3 linked regions of the Neurospora crassa OR74A genome follow. The protein of the gene in region 2 interacts with the protein of the main gene of each other region in a pairwise test. Links are inferred from orthologs where the notes say so. Each region holds a gene or a part of one and is shown on either strand. Other genes may lie near its edges. The genes, in order: eat-2, NCU02510 and NCU04115.

The links.
Region 1: the proteins of NCU02510 (region 2) and eat-2 interact in a two-hybrid assay, tested with the Saccharomyces cerevisiae proteins (2 studies listed by BioGRID, with this or other methods). The link is inferred for Neurospora crassa OR74A from reciprocal best matches to the Saccharomyces cerevisiae genes CHC1 and SLA2.
Region 3: the proteins of NCU02510 (region 2) and NCU04115 interact in binary tests that used the Saccharomyces cerevisiae proteins (3 or more experiments, as listed by UniProt). The link is inferred for Neurospora crassa OR74A from reciprocal best matches to the Saccharomyces cerevisiae genes CHC1 and CLC1.

Annotation. Positions count from the first base shown.
Region 1 is NC_026501.1:1,867,910-1,870,079, reverse strand, and holds the end of eat-2 (cytoskeleton assembly control protein Sla2), read left to right. Parts: coding exon 1-788; intron 789-890; coding exon 891-983; 3' UTR 984-1,528; downstream 1,529-2,170. UniProt on the Saccharomyces cerevisiae protein: Required for cellular morphogenesis and polarization of the cortical cytoskeleton. It might act in concert with proteins such as CDC42 and CDC43 to limit the region of cortical patch formation to the cortex of the bud.
Region 2 is NC_026501.1:2,562,728-2,566,484, forward strand, and holds the start of NCU02510 (clathrin heavy chain), read right to left. Parts: upstream 2,752-3,757; 5' UTR 2,152-2,751; coding exon 2,062-2,151; intron 1,972-2,061; coding exon 1-1,971. Other genes in the region: NCU02511 (S-adenosylmethionine-dependent methyltransferase superfamily domain-containing protein), read left to right, coding at 3,372-3,757. UniProt on the Saccharomyces cerevisiae protein: Clathrin is the major protein of the polyhedral coat of coated pits and vesicles. In yeast, it is involved in the retention of proteins in an intracellular membrane compartment, presumably the trans-Golgi.
Region 3 is NC_026505.1:4,896,520-4,899,303, forward strand, and holds NCU04115 (clathrin light chain), read right to left. Parts: upstream 1,938-2,784; 5' UTR 1,687-1,937; coding exon 1,644-1,686; intron 1,571-1,643; coding exon 1,335-1,570; intron 1,248-1,334; coding exon 792-1,247; 3' UTR 588-791; downstream 1-587. Other genes in the region: NCU04114 (hypothetical protein), read left to right, coding at 1-67, 185-245, 310-371; NCU04116 (DUF618 domain-containing protein), read left to right, coding at 2,706-2,784. UniProt on the Saccharomyces cerevisiae protein: Clathrin is the major protein of the polyhedral coat of coated pits and vesicles. In yeast, it is involved in the retention of proteins in an intracellular membrane compartment, presumably the trans-Golgi. The yeast light chain is important for cell growth.

The sequences.
Region 1 (2,170 bases), about 690 kb from region 2:
AGTTCTTCCGTGGTCTGTTGAGCTTCCGCCTTGAGGGCATGGATCCACTTCAGAAGACCGACGTTGTCATCAACAGCAATAACGATGTCCAGATCAACCTGCAAAAGCTGAACAAGCTTGTCGAGACCTTCGCTCCTGGCTTTGGCCAGCTCGCTAACAAGGGTGACCTTGGCGACATCGTCGATCAAGAACTCAGCAGGGCAGCCGATGCCATTGCTGCTGCCGTTGCCCGTTTGCAGAAGCTCAAGAACAAACCTCGCGATGGATATACTACCTACGAACTCAAGGTCCACGACTCAATCCTCGATGCCGCCATGGCCATTACCACCGCTATCGCGCAGCTCATCAAGGCTGCCACCGCTACACAGCAGGAGATTGTGCAAGCTGGTCGTGGCTCGTCTTCGCGCACCGCCTTTTACAAGAAGAACAACAGATGGACCGAGGGTCTTATTTCCGCCGCCAAGGCTGTTGCCAACTCTACCAGCACTCTCATCGAGACTGCTGACGGTGTTCTTTCCAACCGCAACAGCCCTGAGCAGCTCATCGTTGCATCTAATAATGTTGCGGCCTCCACCGCCCAGCTCGTGGCTGCCAGCCGTGTGAAGGCCGGCTTCATGAGCAAGAACCAGGAGAGCCTGGAGGAGGCCAGCAAGGCTGTCGGTGCCGCCTGCCGTGCGCTCGTCAGACAAGTCCAGAGCATGATCAAGGACCGCAGTGCCGAGGATGAGCAAGTGGACTACAGCAAGCTTGGGTCGCACGAGTTCAAGGTGCGCGAGATGGAGCAACAGGTACGTGATTCCTTCGAGATTTCCTTCCTCTTTCATTTCCGGTACCCTTGGTCTTGCCTATTATGGTTCATTGCTGACCAATTCATTCTCTCCCCATCACAGGTCGAAATCCTTCAACTCGAAAACGCATTGAATGCTGCTCGCCACAGACTTGGCGAGATGCGCAAGATTTCGTACCAACAGGATGAGGACTGATTGTCCCGCAACACATGGGGTTGTTGAGGTAGTATACTCGGTGGCTTCATTCATCTCGCTGGCTTTACGCTTCAATGCGCAGCGTGGGCACATGCATCCGACCAGATCCCCTCCCTCATTCTGTTTTCGTCCCGCAGCGTCTTCCAAAATCTTCATCAGATGTTTTATATTTCAACTACCCCCTCTGTACCTAGCTCGAATTCCTTTGGGAGTCATCAGGTGTTAGTGTTAAACTCAGTTTCATCCACCTTGTTCTTTTTCATCCACTGAAGTCGTCAATTGGCCGTCGTAACTTCGGCCTCGGATATGTTCCGTTCGCTCTTCGCGCGGGTGTTTGGTAACACAGGCAAACCGCCACTCCCGCTGTCATACTGCTGGCATCCGTCGTGTTTCTTTTATGGCGATGTACATCCTTTTTTTGTGGTTTCGATTTTCGCGTTCGCTGCTCGCTGCTCGCTCGATCGGTCGGTCTGCCAGAAAGTTTACCAGATACGTCAAGAGTGAGTAGGCGACCAAATTTCGTGCTTTGTGCTGCTGAATATCACCCCTTTTCCGCCTCCTCTTCCCCTTCCCCTGTCACGTCAGTCCTTCAGCCCTCGGCTGTCCAATTTCCCTACGTCTGCTTATACGGCCCATTTCACTCCCTCTCTTCGCTTTTTTGTCGCAGCCCGTTCGTTGTCTCGTCATCGGTGGCTGCTTTCGTTCGTGCAGCAAGATTCAGAACGAGAAAATCTCTGGTGGAGGGAGTTCAAGTTCCGTTTCCTTCCTATCGCCTGGTCCATTATGCTGTTTTCTCTTTTTCTTTTCGTTCCCCACGTCAGCTTGAAAGTCTGGTCTCTGTCTCCCTCTTGACTTGCATTTCCTAGTTCTTCCCATTCTGGCAGGCCAAGCTAAAGTCGAACCATCACACTCTCCTGCTTCCCTCTCCGGTCGGTTGGCGTTCACGTTGTTATGCTATTAAAGTGCTCCTGCGGAGTCGTCGTTGTCGTACCAACCAATAGCTTGGATGACGGGTAATTGGATGTACCAGTGCCAAGTATTGGATCCGCTGGTGTTTGCTGCGGGCAGATGGTTGTGATGTCCATGAGCTGTACAATAAGAAGAGATGTATGGGAGAGCAGGGCAGCGTGGGGCTGCGTTGGGCAAGCAATTGCATTCTTCCATGGCGTTTATAGGTTGGGACCTGC
Region 2 (3,757 bases):
CTGGAGATTCTGGCGAATATTGTGCTTCATCATGGCGTCCAGGCAGTCAAGCGATTGCTCAACAGACAGCGCCTTGAAATACTCAATCAACCACTCGGGGTTGTAGTTAGGCATTCCAGGGATGTTGACAATAACCCGCTTGATGGACGCAGGATCCTCATAGAGCTCCAGGGCCTTCTGCAAAAGACCTGCTTGCTCGCAGAGGTTCGCAATGTGCGCCTTGTCAAAGTGGGAGAACATGTCGTTGCCAAGAATGGCGTCAGCAACCTGGGGGGCGTTGACGAGGTTCATCTCCAATAGACGAGTCTGAAGGTGGGCATGCTCGGGCTTGTTATCCTTCAGAGCGTCAAGAAGGAAAGCAGTTGCTTGCTGGATCATTCCTTGAGACTGGAAGATGTCAACCACCTTCTCGAAGTCGACCAGCGGGCCGCCTTCGTGATTGGCAAGCGTCGTGGCAAACTCGGCACCCTTCTCAGCATTGACACGGACAATGTGGTGGAGAAGCTGAATAAAGTCAGGCTGGTAGTTGGCTTGACCGCAGTAGGGCAGAATCTTCTCAAACTGGCCAGTCTCGGCAAACCCAGCAACAACCTTGTGAGGAGCGTTGGCCTTCAAATAGATGGCAAGCGCCATGTTAATGTCGTGGGGCCGGACCATGTCACCAAGTCTCTCAGAGCACTCGAGCTTGTTCTCGCTGAGCCACTTCTGCAATAGCTGTTTGCGGTTCTGAGCGAGAACGGGTTGGGCAAGCTCAATGGTCTCATGCTCGTTCAGCGAACCCTTGTCTAGAAGCATACCAAAGTACTGCAAGATATGCGACATCTGTCCAGGCTGCTGTGGAAGACGCTTGAAGCGCTCGATGGTCTGAGGAGTGCGAAGGAAACCTCGAGGAGAGTTGGCAGCCACCTTGGCGGCCTCTTGGTAGTTGCCATTGCTGAAGAGTTGCTCGAAGCGTTGCTGGTAGAGGTTATCGGCGCCTGGGAGCCCTGCACGAGAAGCCAACTTGATAGCGAGCTCATTGCCGTGTGCCTCAAGGACGTAAGGAACGATTGTGTTCTCATCGGCGCTGACGAAGAGAACCTGTCCCTTGCGGTTGATGCCAATGACGCCGGTCGAATCCTTGTCACCGCAAGCAGTGAAGATAGTATCGCTTGAGATGCGGTTCATGAAGATACATGTGGCAGTCTCGAGGTCGTAGAGGTGGATGAAACCGTACTTGGTGATAAGGTAGATGATGCCGTACTTTTGCGAAACCTGGAGGGCGACGGGGAAGTCATTGCTGGCCTCGGGAGGGAAGAAGACGTCCACGGCCTTCTTGGGGAAGACGGGGTTTGTTTCGGGATGGTCGACCTCGACAATGTGGAGCTTCGCGCCGACGGCGGTGCGGACCGCAAAGGTAAACACCTTGGTGTCCTCCGGGGCGCCCTCTAGTCGGAGGGTGCCAAAAGCAGCGGCATGACCCTCAATAGCCTGGCTGATACCGCGGTCTTTGGAATAGAGCTGCATGGCGCCAACAACGCGGCCCTGCTGTTGTGAGATACCGACAACAACCATCCACTTTCCGTCGGCGCTGGTCCGATAATTAATTATTTGGTTGCCCTGGAGATTAGCATTACGATCGAAGACCTTGACCGGAGCGGGCTGGTTCGGGTCGAAGACATCCCAATGGTAAACAGAGCCATCTGTGATCAAGCCAAGCGTGGTCTCGCTAACCCACTTCCAGAACAAGACATCCTCGCTCATGTTTGTCGACTTGAGCTTGGCCTTGTTTTCGAGGTCGAAAATCTGGAGTGTGCGCGCCTGGGCCTTGAGGGCAATTACTTGGCGCGTCCAGTGCATTATGGCACTGTCGGCCTTGATGGGACGTCGGATAACATTATTGCCGTTCTTGAGATCGACGATGATGACTTCAGGGGACGCTGCCTCGTCCTTCTTGTCGCGAATACACACCCAGTTGTCCGATTCTAGAGTCTGGGAGCGGGGGGTTCACGTCAGCAGGGGTGCCAGAGGAGGCGCGACAACTGTCACTAGCAGAGTCAGAGCAAGGTGAGGACAACGTACACAGGTATTGAAAGTGATGGCAGTCTGGTTGATGCCGAGGGCGCTGAGTTGCAGCAGCTCCTGGAATTTGATGGGTAGGGCCTGAGCCATGATGGGCGGTGGTGTTGCGCTAAGCTGCGCGCAGAGTGACGAAGATTAGCAGCCAACTTATCAAAAGCGGCTGGAAGGTGAATCCGCTGGGAAGTAGAAAGATTGGGGAAATGGAGGCTCGTGAAGCTCCGTGGACTGAATGGAATGGCGGCGACGTGAAAGGAGGCGGTGGTGGTGGTGGTTGGTTGTACTTTGGGGGGAAAATGACCGAGCTCCCGAGAAATGGGGAGGGGGAAAGAGGACGGATGAATCAGGTAGGTAGAGGTAGGTAGGAGGTTGGAGGTGGAAGGATTAACGCAAGGTCCAGAAGGCAGGTACGCAGTAAAACCCGCCGCCAAACTGTGGGTGAGAGGTGAGTCGCGATTTGCCGCTCAGTTACAGATACGTAAAGTAAAGGCGAGCAGGTACCTCGATGTCACCTCACTTCAATGCTCCAGCAGAAAGAATAGAGAAGAATCGCGGTTGTTGAAGGATGCAAAGCAGCAAGAGGAGACGTCGTTTGTTACGGGAAGTTAGTACCGTGAGAGATGAAAGATACAGCAGGAAAGATGGAAGGTGCTGAGGTGAGATGCCTCTCCAGCTGTCCAGTGTGTTTGTACATGCCGCAACTGTTCAGCGCAGACGGAAGGTACCTCTAGTACCTCTCAGGTTACCTGCCTGCTTTTGAGTGATGTGTTAACACGGGACCTCGCGGCCGGGGCGTCCACCGCCCACCGGCGCCGGCTCCATTCAGTGCTTCCCCCTGCGTCGGGTGCGCCTAGACCAGGCGGCAGGCGCCTGCCCGGGAGGCCTGCCTGCCCCCTTCGCTTCAAGCTGTCCGCCCGGTCCAGGTTGCCCGCCCTCATCCCGTCATCCTTCTACTTTCCTTTGCCCGCATTGATCGCCTCTCCTGCGAGGTCCGTCAGACGGTCCTTCCATTTCCTACCTCTAGGTACCTTATACCTCCAGGCCGCCTGCCTCCGGGGGCGCCGTTCATGCCGGGCTCCAGGGGCAGCTGTTCCCTACTCCAGAACAGCCCAGCTCCAGGGGTAGCGTCAGCTGTTGCTACAGGGATTCCGAACTTGGCCCAGCTTGACTAATGTGGGGCACTGACCAATGGCTCACCTTTTGGGACCGCAGTGAGGTGGAACCCGATTTGAGGAAAGAGACTTGGCATTGCTATCGATAAGCTTTTTCAGAAAAGAAAATCGACCCGGAGAAATATCCACAAGCGCCTGTCGATGGTGGGCTATCAGTGTTCAAACCAACCCCAACAACATCCCAATCACCACCAGACGACCAGCAATACCATCAAAATGGGTGTCGGACGTCGCATGCAGAAACAGGGCCCTCCTGAGCCCCTCTCGGAGGAGCACTTCGCCAACCTCAAGCGCAAGAAGGGCATTCCCTTTGACGAAACCACGACCGAAGTCGACACTAGAAGATCCAAGAAGCAGAAGATTGTCAAGAAGCAGCCCAAGACATCCGGCTCCAACACTGTCGCAGTCAAGGGCGCCAAGAAAGAGGTCAAGGAGGTGAAGAAGACTGGCACAAAGCCCGCCCACAGGTCCAAGGAGTCCAAGAAGCCTAAGAAGGCAAAGCAGCCTTCGCCCGATCATGACGAGGA
Region 3 (2,784 bases), on a different chromosome or scaffold from region 2:
CCACGTCCCCGAGAAGCAGCGCTACTACCAGCAGGCCTTCAAGAACCACACCCGCCTCTGGAAGATTGTGAGTTGAAGTCGACACTTGAGGATGGTTGGGGAATCAACAGATGGGAAGGAGGAGAGGGAGAGACGGAGAGGGAGGTTTTGTCGGGATAAGGGCTGATGACAAAATCGCGAACAGGGCCCTCGCAGCGGCATCATCATGACCACCTTCAACATTGCCATGTGGGGTACCTTCGGCGGTGCGTATACCTTCATTGATGGCTTATCGCTTCGTCCTTGCTCCTTCCGCTAACTGTACATCAGCTTCCATGTACGCCATGTCCCGCAAGGTTCTCGGCTACAACACCTGGTTCTCGGAGGATTAAATTAGCCGTCCTACCACGATAGTCAACGAAGGCGGTGCTACTGGTCATGATAGAAGCACGAGAATCCCTTTGAATATGTGTATAGTCGCAAAGAGCAGCATAGATGGCGGCAGAGGGCAGGCCGCTTTGGGTGATACCTCCAAGAAGTAGGCCGCCACGCCGATATTCCCTATTTGCATCATGGATTCCACCGACCACCTTTGGGAGAGCTACTGTAACCGTGGAAATCGTGATCCATTGGGTCTCGGCGCTTCGATTACCAAGCTCCAAACACTGATGGCTGCAGCTGTCAAGTCTTTTCTATCATTACAAAATTATGGCTTTTTGGCCATGGGGCAGTAGTGGCCATGGAGGTGTGAAACCTGTGAATAGTGGTAACCAGGCGTTCCCTTTGTCATGGGGGCAGATCAAGTAAGCGCTTTAAATCCCCGAGGCACCGGGGGCCTTTTCGTCCTTCTTTAGGCTTATCAGGAGCTCACGGAAACGCTCCTTGCCGGAACCAGCAGCACCGCCCTTAGCTCCCTTGCCGCTAACGTCAACCAGCTTGGCAATGCGCTCCCAGCTCGTGCCTCCCGATGTGGTGTCCTCGCGGCTGGCAAGGAACTCCTCGGCCTCCTTGCGGGTCTGCCCAATGGCCTTCTCCTTCTTGTTGTTGTAGTTCTCGTAGAATTCGTCAATGTTCTTCTGCGCCTCCGCGATGGTCTCGGCTCTCTGGGCGGCGAACTGCTCCGCCCGCTTGGCAAGCTTCGCATCACGCTTCTCGCGCCACTCTCTGATCACCTCGGGCTCTTGCTCCTCCTGGGCGTATGGCGCATATCCAGAGTTGTAGGTGACGGAAGGACCGGCGCCAGTGATGGTACCGCCTGGCGCAACAGACTAAAGTGAAGATGCCCCATGTTAGAACCCAAGACCATGATTACGTGCTGTGTCGACATCTTTGGTATCATCATTATTTAGTCGTACCTCGTTGCCTGCGGAAAGGTCGGGGAACTGGCTCTCGAAAGCAGCGCTAGTCTCAAGGCCAGCGCCGGCGCCAGCGGAGGAGTCAAGGCCACCCCCTAGGAGGTCGTTGTCATCGTCGAAACCAGCATCCTCAACTGTCGCAAATTGGTTGGCATCGTCGCCGAGAAGCGCCTTTTCGCGCTCGAGGAAGTTGGAGGCCGAGGGGCTTCCAGAACCCTCCTTGATCTCGGTCTGGGCTTTTGTGGGGGTTTGAATGTTAGCAGGCAGTAACAGCAAGGTAAGGGGATCTCCAAACAACGCCAAGCTTACCGCCGGAGTCGAACTCCTCCAGCGAGGGGAATCTGTCAGCCATGATGTGGGTGGTGTGATTTGACTTTTGGTAGATCGGCGCGAACGGACAAGACTGGAGGCTGGAGAAGTGGACTGAAAAACGGAAATATTGGGTAGGACGGAGGATCGAAGAAAGCTGCGAAACAGGCAAGGTGTTTCGTTGTTTGATGGAAGTGTCTTTTGGTGTTGGTGTTGCACTGCGGGAGTCCGAGTTGCAGCCCACCCCAGCGCTCCTGATCGCGCCAGGTTCCAGGTTGCGACGGGACGCCACTCACAGCGGCCACTGGGGCACTTTGGCACTTGTCCACAGTAACAGCGACCCTCTTGGGCCTCTCCATTTGGCCAGGGGAAGCCGTAGAGGTAGTAACAGCTACCTTTAGGTACCGGCAGGCAACTCCATTGTCTGCGTGCGGCAGGCGTTCCGTTGTCCCTCTTCCCCTGCCTGCCCTCGCATTGGACGGATGGAGGAAGCTCCAACGTCTGCTTCGTTCCGTCCCACCACCTCCCGTCGACAACTTCTTTCTTCCTTCTTCTTCTTTTTCTTCTTCTTCTTCTTCCTTTCATCAACAACATTCAGCACTCACCTCGCTGTGGTTTCAGTTGTTTGTCACAGAGCATCCAGATCACGCTCATTTGCGCTTTGCACTGCAAACTCTTCCTGGTGACAGCATTGGTAATAGCAGGGAAACGACTCCGGTGTAGTTGGACCACAGAGCTTGACTAGGTGCTTAGTTCGTGCTGAGCACTTCTCTCTTGCCGTCATCTAGTGTGTTGTGTTGATAGTCCACGCTTCTGCCATTTGAGGTTGTTCCCAAGGGCTTTCGATCCATATTCTAGATCACCACTCGGCCGCGTCTGGAGTCCCTGCTACTTACACGCAAACATCACGGATACCTTTTCGTACTGCTGTAGATGAGTTCTGAATAAACCCGACACCGCATATCTTGAACATCTGCCCCGTCCATCACACCCACCAACCAACCAACCATCAACAACCACTTTTTCCAACACTTTCCAACAAATTTCGCCTAAAGCTTCACCATGGCGTATAACGAGGATGCTGTGCTCTCTAAGCTCTCTGCACTCACTGAGACTCACGAGAGCATTGCAACCACCGCTC